Linked DNA regions of Arabidopsis thaliana. The protein of the gene in region 1 interacts with the protein of each later gene in a pairwise test. Each region holds a gene or a part of one and is shown in the gene's direction. Other genes may lie near its edges.

Region 1 (6,453 bases):
CAGTTCTACTACCAACACGGGCGTCCACCAGCAAAAGAACTAAAGGAGCAATGTCTATCCATGGTTGATCAAGTTTTTAGTAACTATATTGATGGACTACATGTAGATGGTGATGTTTTTGTTCTATTTTTGTCCTTCTAAGGAATATATAAGGCAGTTCATTTTACCATTCTCGTTCCTCTTGCAGAATTCAAATCCATTACGAAACAAGTCTGCAAGCTGCCTTCTTTTCTTTCTCCTGCACTTTTCAGAAAGATCGATCCCAATTGCACTGATATAGTTACAAGGTAGCTCCATATATGACTCATTTATTCTTTTATAAAATGTTTTTTAAAAGTAGTATGAGAACTTTGGGTGCTTGCTCTATTTTCTTATAAAGCTTTGTTGGGTAATTGGTGCGGTACTAATGTTTGCTGATTGACCAATTGTCCTCAGGGATGCATTTATCAAGTATTGGATTGATGGCAATATGTTAACTATGGACACAGCCTCCCAGATATATAATATACTAAGGCAGCAGGGCTGCAGCTATCTCAGACAGGTCTTTTTGTGATTCTTCTCCCGCTTTTCTCCAACCGCGTTCTGATTTATTTTCCAACAATTGTCTTCCTTTTCTTAACCCATTGTGCCATACATTTTGATCATTTCTTGGATTTGGCTACAGGCAGACTTCAAACCAGTTCTTGATGAGCTTCTGGCAACACATCCTGGATTAGAATTTTTGAGGACGATAAGCGAGTTTCAAGAAAGATATGGTAGGAACCATTGATTTGTGACTTACTGATTGTCATGGTGTTAAAAATGATGAAACCTACTCAATAAGACGTTCTTTCTGTGCATACATCTTTATATCTCTACTAGATATGTACTTATGTTAGATTCATACTTGTACTAATTTTAATCCTTTGTTGATTACCCAGCTGAAACGGTCATCTACAGAATATTTTACTACATTAACAGATCCGGAACTGGCTGCCTTACTCTTAGAGAGCTGAGACGTGGAAATTTAATTGCTGCTATGCAACAACTTGATGAAGAGGACGACATTAATAAAATTATTAGGTGAGTTTATTTTTTCTTTTCATAATTTCCTAACAATAAGTATTTGAAATTCAAACATATTCTGTTGTTATATAAGGAGTAAACAAGCTTACGAAAATATATTAAAGTTCGAGGGTTTATCACATATGTAACATTAAACAGTTCAAAATGGAAGAGCTATATGAGTATTGGCTTATACCTTCATATTGCTTCTGTAACAGAACTTATGCCTGATTTTACCATTTGCAATCATGTCGTTTCTTTTAATTTTCAGGTACTTCTCCTATGAGCACTTCTACGTGATATACTGCAAATTTTGGGAACTTGATGGTGACCATGATTGTTTTATTGATAAGGACAATCTCATCAAATATGGTAATAATGCCCTTACCTACAGGATTGTTGATAGAATATTTTCACAGGTTGGTTCCCAAAATTGTTCCTGCCTAGACCTTCTTAAAAGCTAAGTTATATAGTATGATGTGATCCTTTTTATTTGATCTCCATGCGTCTTGTGGCTATGTTTCTCTTTTAGATTCCAAGGAAGTTTACGAGTAAAGTTGAAGGGAAGATGAGTTATGAAGATTTTGTGTACTTCATTCTCGCTGAGGAAGACAAGTCTTCCGAGCCTAGTCTTGAGTATTGGTACACATCTCCCCCTCCGTGTTGATATTGGTTTTCCTTAATGAATGTTGCCCCTTGGTTTAGATCACAAGATCTTGATATATATACTACAACGGAGTCAAAACCAGTGACTTGAGGACTTGTTACTTGTAACAAGTCCTCTTCCTCAGATATATTTAGTAATCATTGTATGGTACCATTTTTTCATGAACATAGGATCCTTGTTTATACTCGGGCACTAACAATCTAACAATCTGATACTAGTTTATAGCCTAGTATGCTCATCTATCTATTATGGATGTCAAAACTCAATATTTTTGCAAGTCCGTGTATTTTACTTGACACTGATTGAAATTTTCCGTGCAGGTTCAAATGCGTAGACTTGGATGGAAATGGGGTAATCACTTCAAACGAAATGCAGTTTTTCTTCGAAGAGCAGCTGCATCGCATGGAATGCATAACCCAGGAAGCTGTTCTTTTCAGTGATATCCTATGTCAAATAATTGACATGATTGGACCCGAGGTTAGTTACTTTACAAACCAGAACATGGTTGTTTGATTTTTCCGAGCTTTTTTGTTATTTATCATTTATTTGACTGGAATCATCTATATGGTGGATGTCCTTGCAGAAGGAGAACTGTATCACCCTCCAGGATCTGAAAGGATCGAAACTTTCAGCAAACGTTTTCAATATACTCTTCAACCTTAATAAGTTCATGGCATTTGAAACACGTGACCCATTTCTCATTCGCCAGGTAAGTTTGGCTTACCAGTGGAGTTTTTATAGCACTCAAGAGGGAAAAAAATAACAAAGAATATGACTTCTTTTAACTGCTAAAGGCAGTTTGTAGTAGTTCGGATTGAGGCAATTAGAACAAGTATAATTCTCTTTCATTGCTGTAGGAACGGGAAGATCCAAATTTGACAGAGTGGGATCGATTTGCTCAGAGAGAGTATGCGAGATTGTCAATGGAGGAAGATGTAGATGAAGTCTCAAATGGGAGTGCAGATGTCTGGGATGAACCACTCGAACCTCCATTTTAGTCCATAGTGGTAAGTTCACACTGCTTGTGTATAGGAAATGCAAATGCTTATAAAATTCTGTGATTTATTGAGTCGAAAGCCGATCTTGACTACAGAAACCAACCAAATAAGGAGACTTATGATTTGAGGTTTTCCCTGGAGAGAGATCCATGATCAGAGATTGGAGGTCACTGTTGGTTGTTACCAGACGCTTTCATCATCATTTCCAAAAGAGTCTCAGCCAAATTCATGAAATTTTTGCAATTTTGTTTTGGTTTCATTATAAAGATTATATCAAGTTGGGCCCTCTCTCCCTCTACATCATCTAGTGTCCATATAACCAGTTGGATTGTCCAACTCAGAATGTACTCATAAATCTGAATTGTTAAACTCTTTTAGTCTTTACTGTCACACGAATATATTTTCAGAAAGAAATCTGAATTGTAAATCTCTTTAGTTGCACTGATATCTTTTTCATAAAAAAAAAAAGAGAAAGAAATCTGAATAGTAAATCTTTTTTCTTAATTAAAAAGAAAAGAAAAAACATCTCCTTATAGTATAGTTGATAGAAGGTGCAAGTCACGCGTTTAATGTGCGCGTGATTAGTTAATTAAACTTGTATATAGAGAGTAAGCGCGTGGTTACATTGCAAAACACTAGAGATAACCCTAGAAAGATCTCTCTCGATCTCTGGTTCGAAGAAAATCCACCATTTCCGATTGTTCTTTCTCTTTGACAAAACCCAGATAGATAAAAATTCGTTCCAATTCCAGTGAGCTCCGGAAATGGCGTCCTTCAAGTTGATGTCTTCTTCCAATTCCGACTTGTCTCGCCGTAATTCTTCTTCTGCTTCATCTTCCCCTTCTATAAGATCATCGCACCATCTCCGACCAAATCCTCACGCCGATCACTCCAGAATCAGTTTCGCTTACGGCGGAGGAGTCAACGATTACACTTTCGCGTCTGATTCAAAGCCCTTCGAGATGGCGATTGATGTTGATCGGAGTATCGGAGATCGGAACAGCGTTAACAACGGAAAGAGTGTTGACGATGTTTGGAAAGAGATTGTATCTGGAGAGCAAAAGACGATCATGATGAAGGAAGAAGAACCAGAAGATATAATGACACTTGAGGATTTCTTAGCGAAAGCAGAAATGGACGAGGGAGCTTCAGATGAAATCGATGTGAAGATTCCAACGGAGAGACTCAACAACGACGGTAGCTATACATTTGATTTTCCGATGCAGCGACACAGTTCGTTCCAGATGGTTGAAGGATCAATGGGTGGAGGAGTAACGAGAGGAAAGAGAGGGAGAGTGATGATGGAGGCAATGGATAAAGCTGCAGCTCAGAGACAGAAGAGGATGATCAAGAACCGTGAATCCGCTGCTAGGTCTCGAGAGAGGAAACAGGCTTATCAGGTTGAGTTAGAGACTTTGGCTGCCAAGTTAGAGGAGGAGAATGAGCAGCTTTTGAAGGAGATTGAAGAGAGCACTAAAGAGAGATACAAGAAGCTCATGGAGGTTCTGATTCCGGTCGATGAGAAACCAAGGCCACCGTCGAGGCCCTTAAGCAGGAGCCATTCCTTGGAATGGTGAAGTGTGGTAAAAAAAACTTTTGTATGTAAAAAAAATAAAAACATATGGGCTTGATTACTATATTATAATCTATATAGTAAAGTGATGGTGATATGGTTAGTACTTAGTTACCTGTAATGTATCTAAGGGATGTAATGGATAATACATAGCTTTTTGCTGATTTATAAGATATCTATGGACCAGACTAGATGGGATAAATTCTTTTTCTCCCTAACAATTTTGTTGGTCGATTCAAATTAGAAAGTGGTTGGTTGTGTTTGATTAGGCAGGAGCAGAGAGTTCTTCGTCTTCTTTATTCTCCTGGCATCGTTTTAGCATCTCAAGTTGGCGTCGTAGATGCAAAACCTGTAACCCACCAAAGGAAAACGATTTAACTTAGCTGACTTTACTACATATTTCTCATCTAATGGATTCTGGAGTTCAGCCTTAAAAAAGAGTCAGCTTCAGAAGGTAATCCTCAGACTATATAACTGAGTTTCATTTCTGTTTCTTATCCTAAGAATTAGAAGATATATAACTCAGACTCCAAGTGAAGAGTTGGCTTAGTTATGTACCTCTTGTTGAAGCAAAGTCGGGTGGCTAACCATGGAAATGAGCTGTTTCATTTCTTGCAAAAGTGACTGGTCTTTGATACCTGACCACGTCTGTGGAGGTAAAGCCAACAGAAGAGCAGTGAACACATCGTTCCCGGATGGGTAAGCTACCACTGTCACTTTCTCCTCACCAAGACCTTGATGTAAAACAAGAAATTCAAAGAAAAAAGTGATTTCTTGATTAGAACTTTGCACACTACTAACTTCAAGCCAAGGTTTCTGAAGCGCTTAGAAAGATAACCAGAATGTAAGAACAAACATACCTTTGATACATTTGACACAAGTTTCCTTACAACAGGATTCATCTGATTCATATCCCGATAAGATTTCATCTCCGTCACAATAAACCTTAGCAGCAACATATGGCAGATTGTCTTCGTACACAGAGGAGAGAAACTTATCCACATGCTTGAACAGTTTAGTTTCTTGCACTTGTTTCAGTAACTCTTGCTACAGCAAAACGAACCATAGAACAGTGATGAATAAACTGATGGAATATAAACATGGAAAACTAAAGTTCAGAAGCAAATGGACAAGATAATACCTTTAATTTGAGCCTTGATTTCTCTTCTGAGCTAAGATTTTGATTTACATCCTCTGTTCTTCGAATCTCAGCCATCCATTTGATAAATTGGTTGAAATTTGCTGGAAGTGACTTGAATACAACATATAAGATTCTTTCAATAGTATCAACATGTTGTGAGCTTACAAGACGAGGAACATCTTCCTTCAAATACTTTGCAATGCTGATCCAGCTCTCATCCTTACAACTCTGAAATCGATAATCAAGATATCATTACTCAGTCCTATTCGAAAGAAATGTTATTGTAATAGCAGCAACTACTAATAGAACCATGACTTTGGACTTACTAATGTATAGAGCAATCCTGGTTCTCTGTGGGGTCTTGATATAAGCATGAACCTGGAAGTAAAGCAGAATAGCAAAAAGAAACGGATTACATTCTTTAATCATACAAGTGAAGCCTAAGAAAAAGAATAGAGATCCATGTACCCTCTACGTCTCCCTGTTGACTGATCAATACTATCCATGGCATCCCAAAGAAGTTTAAGAGGAACCCAGTGAGGAGGATACTTGAAACGAGCGACATCAAGAATCAAAGCCATATCTCTTTCAGCATTATAACCACCAATAGGTGAAAAGTGGCCAGTTCCAGTCTGCAATCATAGACATTAGAATCCGATCAGCATGGGACTTCATAGCAAGACATGAAAGAGTTTCACCATTATCAAACTTTGTAATAACATTAAGTCTAATGAATTTCACTTAATTGCCATATAACTGTTAATATACACAGAGTTTAGGCCAAAAAAATGATACCTGCTTGAGTACTTGCCTATGATATGTTGAGATCATATGACAATTATCAGAAGTTGAACATTTGACCACATATTTGCGGAAATCATCAATGGTGCTCTGATTTGTGCGGAAAGCTTCGACTTTTGCTCCTGAAGAATGAGCTAAACAGACCACTTTTCCAAATGAAATGCCTTTATCCTTCACTATTTCAAGCGGCTCGCAACATTCCAGCATTGATTCATCAAACCACCTCCAA
Region 2 (8,639 bases), on another chromosome or scaffold:
GCTTGTTCTGCCTTGTTGAGAATATGAATCAAAGCTTCAGTGCAAAGTACAAACAAGGCCGGTGAAAGTGGATCTCCTTGTCGAATTCCACGAGTTGGAATGATATGGCCATAAGGCTGTCCATTGATCAAGACTGAGTAAGAGACTGAAGTTACACAATTCATGATCCAGGAAATCCATTTGTTGTTAAAACCAAGAGCAGTCATCATAGTTTCCAAAAAAGGCCACTCAACCCTGTCATAAGCCTTAGACATGTCAGTCTTGAAAGCCATATGTTCCTTAGATATTCGATCATTGGTTCTGAGACTATGAATCATTTCATGAGCAACCAATATATTATCAGATATCAAGCGTTGAGGAACAAATGCAGATTGCGTTGTAGAAACAATAGCTGGAAGATGTTTTTTCAATCTTTGAGTCAAAATCTTCGATATTATCTTGTATAGCACAGAACACAAACTTATAGGTCGAAGATCTGACATTCTCTGTGGGCTAGTGATCTTAGGAATGAGACAAATATGAGTGTGATTCCAATCCTGGGGTAGAACTCCAGTCTCAAAGAAACCAAAAATCTCAGTTAAGATCTGATGTTTCACTAAATCCCAATGTTGTTGAAAGAACAAAGCAGTAAAACCATCAGGTCCTGGAGCACTTTCCTTGTTAATAGAGAATACTGCATTATACACTTCCAGTTCAGTGACCTCTTGAATTAAATTGTGATTCATTTCTGATGTTACCTTTGCTTGGAGACCTTCCAGGTGATTGTTATGAGTCAATATATACGTAGAGGTGAACAGATTCTCAAAAAAGGAAGATGCAATTTTTCCTTTATCACTGTTTCTTGTAAATTCCTGATCATTCTCATCAAGTAGAAAGCTTAACTCATTCTTTAATCTCTCAGAGTGTACAGTAGCATGAAAGAATCCAGTATTCTTGTCACCCCCTGCAAGCCATTTTTGTCTGCTTTTTTGTCTCCAAAACAATTCTTCATCACCATATGCTAAACTCAGTTGATCCTTGATATACTCAATTCTAGGCCAACATGGAATTTGAATACTCTTCTCTGCATCTAAATCTTTTCTCAATCTCTTAATTCTACTTTGAGCATTAGTATCAGACGAATGTTTCCATACACTGATAGCTCTACGACATTCAATAAGACTGAAAAAAGAAGAGTGAGTACCTTGAGACATTGCACTATTCCAAGAACGATGTATAACCTCAATACAGTAGGGATCGTCATCAAGTCTTTTATCATAACGAAATTGTCCACGAAAAAGCTCATTGTCATTAGTGAATTTGACCAATACCGGGCGATGATCAGATCCAAACTTCTCTAAAAACCACTGATGAGCATTAGGGAAAATAGAAAACCAAGCTGGATTTCCAAAGCATCGATCCAATTTACACTGAACCCACTGATCATTTCTGTTTCCTCCCCAAGTGAAACTATTACCTGTACTTCCTAATTCATGCATAGAACAGTTGAGTAACATGTGTTCAAAGCATTGAAAAGAAGAAGGTGATCGTCTTGGTCCTCCTAATTTTTCATCATTCGACCTAATATCATTGAAGTCTCCTATTAAACACCATGCTTCTGCTCTCTTGAGACCAATAGAATTCAGGTGTTCCCATAGTTTAGGTCGCATATGGGTAACCGGAAGTCCATAAACACAAGAAATAAACCAAACTTTATTTCTAGAAGAAACCTGAAGATCCATAAGATTTTTATCAGCATAAAGAAACTCAATCTCCAGATGGCTTTTCCAGAAAATTGCTAAGCCACCACTTCTTCCTTCAGGTTCTACTGTATGTATAAAATCATAACCAAGCCAACAAAAAACTTTATAAACAAAATCTTGAGAATTTTTTGTCTCCATGAGGAATAGAATGTCTGGAAAATGATCCTTTTTCATTTCCTTCAAGTATCGAATTGTCCAAGGATTCCTCAGACCTTGACAATTCCAGCTAATGACGCCTTACTGATCCAACGGTGGTTCCTGGAAAACCACCGTATTTTTATCTTTCTTTTGACATTGAGAATCAGAGATGTCTGGAGGGTTTGCTTTTCTTTTGAAGACTTTAGCAAATTGAGGCATTGAATCAGATGATTTGTTTCTCTTCTTCATTGACCATTTTCTCTGTGATTTGCCTTTCCTTGAAGCAGAAGAAGAGAACTCTTGCATTAAATGATGTTGAAAACCTGCAGTCGAGGTACTAGCCTCACCATAGCCTGTTGTGAAACCAGTTAAAACTTCTAAATCAGCAAGGTCTTCAAAAACCTTATCATCTCGAAGAGTAGAAGCAAAACCAGAGACTGGTATATCCGTTGTTATCATAGCCTCGCTTATTAGTTTCGAGTCTGATACTTCAGAAGGTAAAGGAACTTGAAACTTTGAAAGACGTTCTAACGAGTTACCTTCGGGTGAAGATCTCTTGACATGAAGATTTATAGGTTCAGAAATCTTCATAGAACATTTGTTTTTATCATGAGTTAATCGTTGACAGTGGAAACACCTTTTCCTAATCCTCTCATAATCAAAAGAAATGAGAACAAGTTCACCTGAAGGAAGTTGAACCTCTTTATTGTTACGAAGAGGATTGGCTACAGAAAATAGAACTGAACTCGAACATAATCTTGAACCTGTGATTTTTCAGGATCCATGACAACCTGCATCACTTTCCCTAAACATCCCGCAATCTCCTTAATCGTGTCTTCAGTATAATAGTTAACGGGAATATTTCTGATTCTAACCCAAATTGGGAGAAACCTCAGATAGTCATCAGGTGGTTTCTCTATCCATTTTTGCATAACAACTGCCCAATCATCTTGTGTCCACACTCCAGTCTTCAAGATTTCTTCTAAGTCTTCCTCATATTTAAAGAAAAATTGAAACCGCTCTTTCGAAAGAGCCACACCTCTAACACGATTAGATAAACGCCAAATACGAGGCATGTCTAAAATCCAGTTAGACATCCGTTGATTTTCTGGATTTAAGAATCTTCCCAGAATACTACAGCTATTGCGTTCAATAGAGGAAAACTGCGGAAGATTTGAGAGAATCAGAGGTTGATTATCTTCAAGAGACATGTTTTGAATAGCTTTATCCAAGTCTTTATCCATGAAAACTTCAGCAAGCAGATGACAGAACAAAAACAGAGCACTTTGTAAAAGTTTGTTTTAACCGGACCGAAAAAGTTAATATCTCCGGTAGAAGCTCCGCTCAGATGAAAACAGCTGAGAGAGAAGTCCTTGAGCCCAAAAGAAATCTGGGACGGCGATTGATTAACGGCGACGCGAGATCTTTATTTCACCTACTATGAAAGAGAACAGAGAGTTTATTTTTACTATTGAACTTTTTCTGTGTTATAAAGTATACTTTTGAACTTTTCAAACTTTAAATTGATTACTCCAAAATGCAATCAGTTGTTTTCAGTGACCAACGAAACTGAAAAATTAACAACCAGAATTTATAAAATTAGAAAATGGATCTAAATGTAACTAATCAAACTTCCGTCAAATTGTGGAAAATAAGAAAAGGGGATGCAAATGTAAATAATCAAATTTCCGTCAAAACCTGGGAAAAAAAAGAAGAACTCGCGGTCCGGGTTTAAAAGCGAGGCTGACCAAAACCGACCCTAATTTGTTGTAAACTTGAGATTTGATTTGGGACTCAAATTCAAAGTTACCGTTGTTCTCGAAACCTCGCGTAAGTTCCAATGGAAGCTTCACTAATGGCGGATTTGCAGAGATTTCTGCAAGATCGCTGCTTAGGCGTTTCGAATCTCCCACAGAAAGGCCGCTCTCTATTCACTGCCAGAGATTTTCGTCCAGGTTCGTTCGTTTCTCTCTCGCTGGGGTTTAGGGTTTTGTTCGTCTGAGACTTATTCTGATTCCTGTGTTTTCTTCCAGGAGAAGTGATTCTAAGCCAAAAGCCATATATATGTGTTCCGAATAATACATCCTCGGAATCAAGATGTGACGGATGTTTCAAGACCAATAACCTTAAGAAATGTTCTGCTTGTCAAGTGGTTTGGTACTGTGGGAGCTCTTGCCAGGTATATCTGATATGAGTCCTCTCTGGAGAAATTCAGTTGATGATTGATTCATATTCTAAGATTTGTTGTTTGTTGTGATTCCTTTCAGAAGTCAGAGTGGAAGTTACATCGCGATGAATGCAAAGCTCTCACTAGACTTGAGAAGGAGAAACGGAAGTTTGTTACTCCTACAATACGTCTGATGGTTAGACTTTACATCAAGAGGAATTTGCAAAATGAAAAGGTTATCATCAGCTATGTAGAAGTCTAGATACATCCATATTTTGTTTTTGGCTGCTAAATATGGAGAAGAAGGCTGATTCATTGGTTATTTGTGTCATATTGATAGCAGTCTATGAATGCTAAATTCTTAATGTGCTTTATCTTGTCCAGGTCCTGCCAATTACGACGACAGACAATTATAGTTTGGTGGAGGCTTTGGTGTCCCGTATCCTCTCTATGTGTGCCTTATAGCTTTGTGAAATTGATGATCTCTTTACCGCTAGAAATGTGTATTCTTTAACCTTTATATGTTAGACATGTCTGAGATTGATGAAAAGCAGATGTTGTTGTATGCACAGATGGCTAATCTTGTGAACTTGATTCTTCAATTTCCTAGTGTTGACCTAAGAGAGATCGCCGAGAACTTTTCAAAGGTTGGTGATGTGGTCCCGGGATTTTTTGTATTCGTCTTTATTGGAATGTTGTTTAGGGATAATTACTTAAGCCACTTTCATTTCTACTGAACACAGTTCTCATGCAATGCTCATAGCATTTGTGATAGCGAATTGAGACCTCAAGGGATTGGATTGTTTCCATTGGTTTCCATCATTAATCACAGGTAAATGCTTTTTCTTTGTGTTCTTTAATCACTTTGTTTCCTGCCTAAATCTTTTGCTCTGTAGCTGCTCTCCCAATGCGGTTTTAGTGTTTGAGGAGCAGATGGCTGTTGTTCGGGCGATGGATAACATATCAAAGGATTCAGAGGTAGTTTTTGCTTTGTTTCGTCTCTCGTCTTTCGTAATTGCTAGTAGCACACGGACATATAGCTGTTAGATCCTTTTGTCTTTGGTCAGATAACTATCAGTTATATTGAAACCGCTGGAAGCACTCTGACTCGGCAGAAGTCTCTGAAAGAACAATACCTCTTCCACTGTCAGTGTGCCCGTTGCAGTAACTTTGTAAGCAGTCGCTAATTCTCCCACTTATCAACGAATGGAGTTAATTCTATATTTTGTTTACAACCTGTACCATCATTTTTTGATACTTAAGGGAAAACCTCATGATATTGAAGAAAGTGCAATATTGGAAGGCTATCGGTGTGCCAATGAGAAATGCACCGGTTTCTTACTCCGTGATCCTGGTATGTTAAGATTTAACTTAGGTAGTTTGTATCCAAGAACATTTCTTGATCCCTCCAGTCCTCATTTGTTTACTTTTGCAGAAGAAAAAGGCTTCGTTTGCCAGAAATGCTTGCTTCTTAGGAGCAAGGAAGAGGTTAAAAAGTTAGCAAGTGATCTCAAAACAGTTTCAGAGAAGGCTCCTACATCTCCTTCCGCAGAAGGTATCTGTTGCCTTTGCTTCCTCAATACCTGCATTTACATGTCTGAACAAGATTAACTGATCTTCGTTAAATTGAGCTGTGTTGCAAGTTGTCTAAGAAAATCTTTGATCATTTTCAGATAAACAAGCCGCTATTGAACTATATAAGACAATTGAGAAACTACAAGTTAAGCTTTACCATTCTTTCTCCATCCCTTTAATGAGAACCCGTGAAAAACTTCTCAAGGTACGTATCTTTAGGACTTTTGGAAGTTTTACAGAGTTTTGAAGACGAGACAGATATGGTTTCTCAAAGCTTGCCGTTACACATTCTTTTGCAGATGCTAATGGACGTAGAAATCTGGAGAGAAGCTTTGAATTACTGCAGACTAATAGTCCCTGTTTACCAAAGTATGTTTACTTCATCTTGATTATTACGTTGCTCGCTCCTTGACGCATGTTCGATCAATATTTTTCTTTTCTTTAGGATACCTTCTAGTATATAGATCTAGGTGTGGGATTTATATCTTGAACATAAGTACGAAGCTCTTAAGAGTTTTGTATAGATACATTTACTTATAATTACCGTAGGAACTTATTGCCTGCAGTATCAGAGCTAACTGTACTGGCACTAATGGCTGCTAATTATACCTTAAACAGAAACATCTACATAATAATTATAAAATCATTCAAATTCTTTTGGTGGTTATTACTTGTGCTTACCTTGTTTATAAAATTGCAGGAGTATATCCGGCAACCCATCCTTTGATTGGACTGCAGTTCTATACCCAAGGAAAACTCGAATGGTATCAAAGCTTCTTTGCTTTCTCTAGTTTATATTTTGATAGATTTTGAGCTGCGGAAACTGAACTAGAATTTGAAGACAGATTAATGCTCTATATCACGACTATTTAATTCTCCGGTCAAAATCCTTAAGACCAAATAATAAGTGTTTTCCCTCAACTATCAAAGCTACATGTTCTCAGTGTTGGAGACTCTTATTCTACTGTGACTTTTTCAGTCAGGGAAGTGGGAACACGTAGAGATTGGCTAGTGTTAGGCGGAACTTGGCTAATAAGCCTTCAAGATATCCCTAAGTTAGAATCTCTGTGGAAAGAAACATTCGTTTACCTGTAAAAAATTATCATTCATATTTTAACTTTCTACGTGAATCTGAGTCTGAGTGCAATAACATGGTGTCGGTTACTATCATATTCTGCGGATAAAAAAGGTATAATTGTGATGTTGCAGGTTGCTGGGGGAAACCAAAGAGGCGGTGAGTTCATTGATTAAGGCATTTGACATTCTGCGGATCAGCCATGGAATAAGCACACCTTTCATGAAAGAGCTCTCAGCAAAGTTGGAGGAAGCTCGTGCAGAAGCTTCTTATAAGCAGCTTGCATTGCATTGAAAGACGCTTATAATGATGACAACTAGCAACTTTGATCTCTCTCTTGTACAAACTCATGAATCACTTTCTATACTCTCTACACATCTTGAATATATTGAATTTGTCTTTACAAATTCTAGAGCTGAAAACCTGATAAAATTGATCTCCTCTATTTGATCTAATATAATATTTTGGCCACACATGTCAAAATTAGAAATATATAGCCAATTATACAAACTAAATGTAATATGTATTGCATACTCACATGTACCAACTATATGACGATATGTAGTCGCATCACTACTATTTTGTTCCGGTACACCATTCATAGATATCAACTTCAACAATCGTTAACCAACAAAAATATTAAAAAAACATATTGTTATCAAATAATCTGCTCAACAAAAATATTAAAAAAACATATTGTTATCAAATAATCTGCTTGTTACATTTACTTGGATATTTGGATGATCCACTTTTTCATTAATCAGTTTTAAAATTTCTCATCTAAGCACAATATATATAATTTTATTCAAATACTTTATAACCTGAAATTCTTTAATTTCCTACACCCAAAAAGAAAATTTATTTTGCAAAATGGAAAAAAAAAAAAAAGTTTCACCCGAGAAAAGTCTATTTCTTGACACAACGCATATCGAAGCTTCTCCTTCTCCATATCTCTCTCTCTCCCTCCCTCTGGCAATGCTGTTTCGATGGCAACCTCATTTCCTATTCATTAATGCCTCACAAATCCCCTAAGAAAACATCCTCATTGCGTAGGGTCTAAGAAACCGAAATCCCACAAAAAAACTCATGGGTCTCTGTTTCTCCTCCGCCGCCAAATCCTCCGGCCACAACCGCAGTAGCCGGAATCCCCACCCACATCCTCCTCTCACGGTTGTTAAATCCAGACCACCGCGATCTCCATGTTCCTTCATGGCCGTTACGATCCAAAAGGATCATAGAACGCAACCGCGACGCAATGCAACGGCTAAGAAAACGCCGACGCGGCATACGCCACCGCACGGGAAAGTGAGAGAGAAAGTTATAAGCAATAACGGTAGGAGACATGGAGAAACGATCCCCTACGGTAAGCGTGTAGATTTTGGGTACGCTAAAGATTTTGATCACCGTTACACCATTGGAAAATTGCTTGGACATGGTCAATTTGGTTATACATATGTCGCTACCGATAAAAAAACCGGTGATCGTGTCGCCGTCAAGAAGATCGATAAGGCCAAGGTATGATGATGAATCAATCATTTTTGCTGTCTTTTTCTAATCATTGAGTTTTATTTTATTTAAGATTCTTCAGATTTTGGAGCACAAAGATTATTTTATATATTTAAAATATATTCGGATTCTTGCGTTTCTTGATTTGATTTTTGTTGGGTAGATGACAATTCCGATAGCTGTGGAAGATGTAAAGAGAGAGGTGAAGATATTACAAGCTTTAACTGGTCATGAAAATGTGGTTCGGTTTTATAATGCCTTCGAGGACAAGAACTCTGTTTATATAGTTATGGAGTAAGTAAAAAGCCTTTTAGGTCGTGTGTTTTTCTTTTCTTGTAATGCAAGAAAGGCAAAGGGCGAAAACTTCTCTGTTGCTAATTAGTTTTTCCATTGATGATATATTGTTCTCTAGGTTATGCGAGGGTGGTGAATTACT

The links. Proteins that work in one complex are often made in the same cells at the same time.
Region 2: the proteins of GBF4 (region 1) and SDG37 interact in a two-hybrid assay, tested with the Arabidopsis thaliana proteins (one large-scale study listed by BioGRID).

Annotation. Positions count from the first base shown.
Region 1 is NC_003070.9:1,014,764-1,021,216, forward strand, and holds GBF4 (G-box binding factor 4), read left to right. Parts: upstream 1-3,336; 5' UTR 3,337-3,473; coding exon 3,474-4,286; 3' UTR 4,287-4,484; downstream 4,485-6,453. Other genes in the region: AT1G03960 (Calcium-binding EF hand family protein), read left to right, coding at 4-109, 188-287, 436-541, 665-755, 921-1,062, 1,316-1,463, 1,577-1,686, 2,032-2,188 and 2 more; PCS2 (phytochelatin synthase 2), read right to left, coding at 4,548-4,631, 4,841-5,016, 5,143-5,329, 5,424-5,651, 5,750-5,801, 5,892-6,055, 6,219-6,453. UniProt on the Arabidopsis thaliana protein: Binds to the G-box motif (5'-CCACGTGG-3') of the rbcS-1A gene promoter. G-box and G-box-like motifs are cis-acting elements defined in promoters of certain plant genes which are regulated by such diverse stimuli as light-induction or hormone control.
Region 2 is NC_003071.7:7,771,772-7,780,410, reverse strand, and holds SDG37 (SET domain group 37), read left to right. Parts: upstream 1-3,585; 5' UTR 3,586-3,720; coding exon 3,721-3,835; intron 3,836-3,913; coding exon 3,914-4,059; intron 4,060-4,147; coding exon 4,148-4,282; intron 4,283-4,431; coding exon 4,432-4,486; intron 4,487-4,575; coding exon 4,576-4,694; intron 4,695-4,790; coding exon 4,791-4,879; intron 4,880-4,943; coding exon 4,944-5,025; intron 5,026-5,114; coding exon 5,115-5,219; intron 5,220-5,310; coding exon 5,311-5,401; intron 5,402-5,482; coding exon 5,483-5,602; intron 5,603-5,720; coding exon 5,721-5,827; intron 5,828-5,921; coding exon 5,922-5,991; intron 5,992-6,322; coding exon 6,323-6,386; intron 6,387-6,831; coding exon 6,832-6,991; 3' UTR 6,992-7,191; downstream 7,192-8,639. Other genes in the region: AT2G17905 (Ta11-like non-LTR retrotransposon), read right to left, coding at 2,606-3,124; CPK16 (calcium-dependent protein kinase 16), read left to right, coding at 7,784-8,212, 8,367-8,497, 8,616-8,639.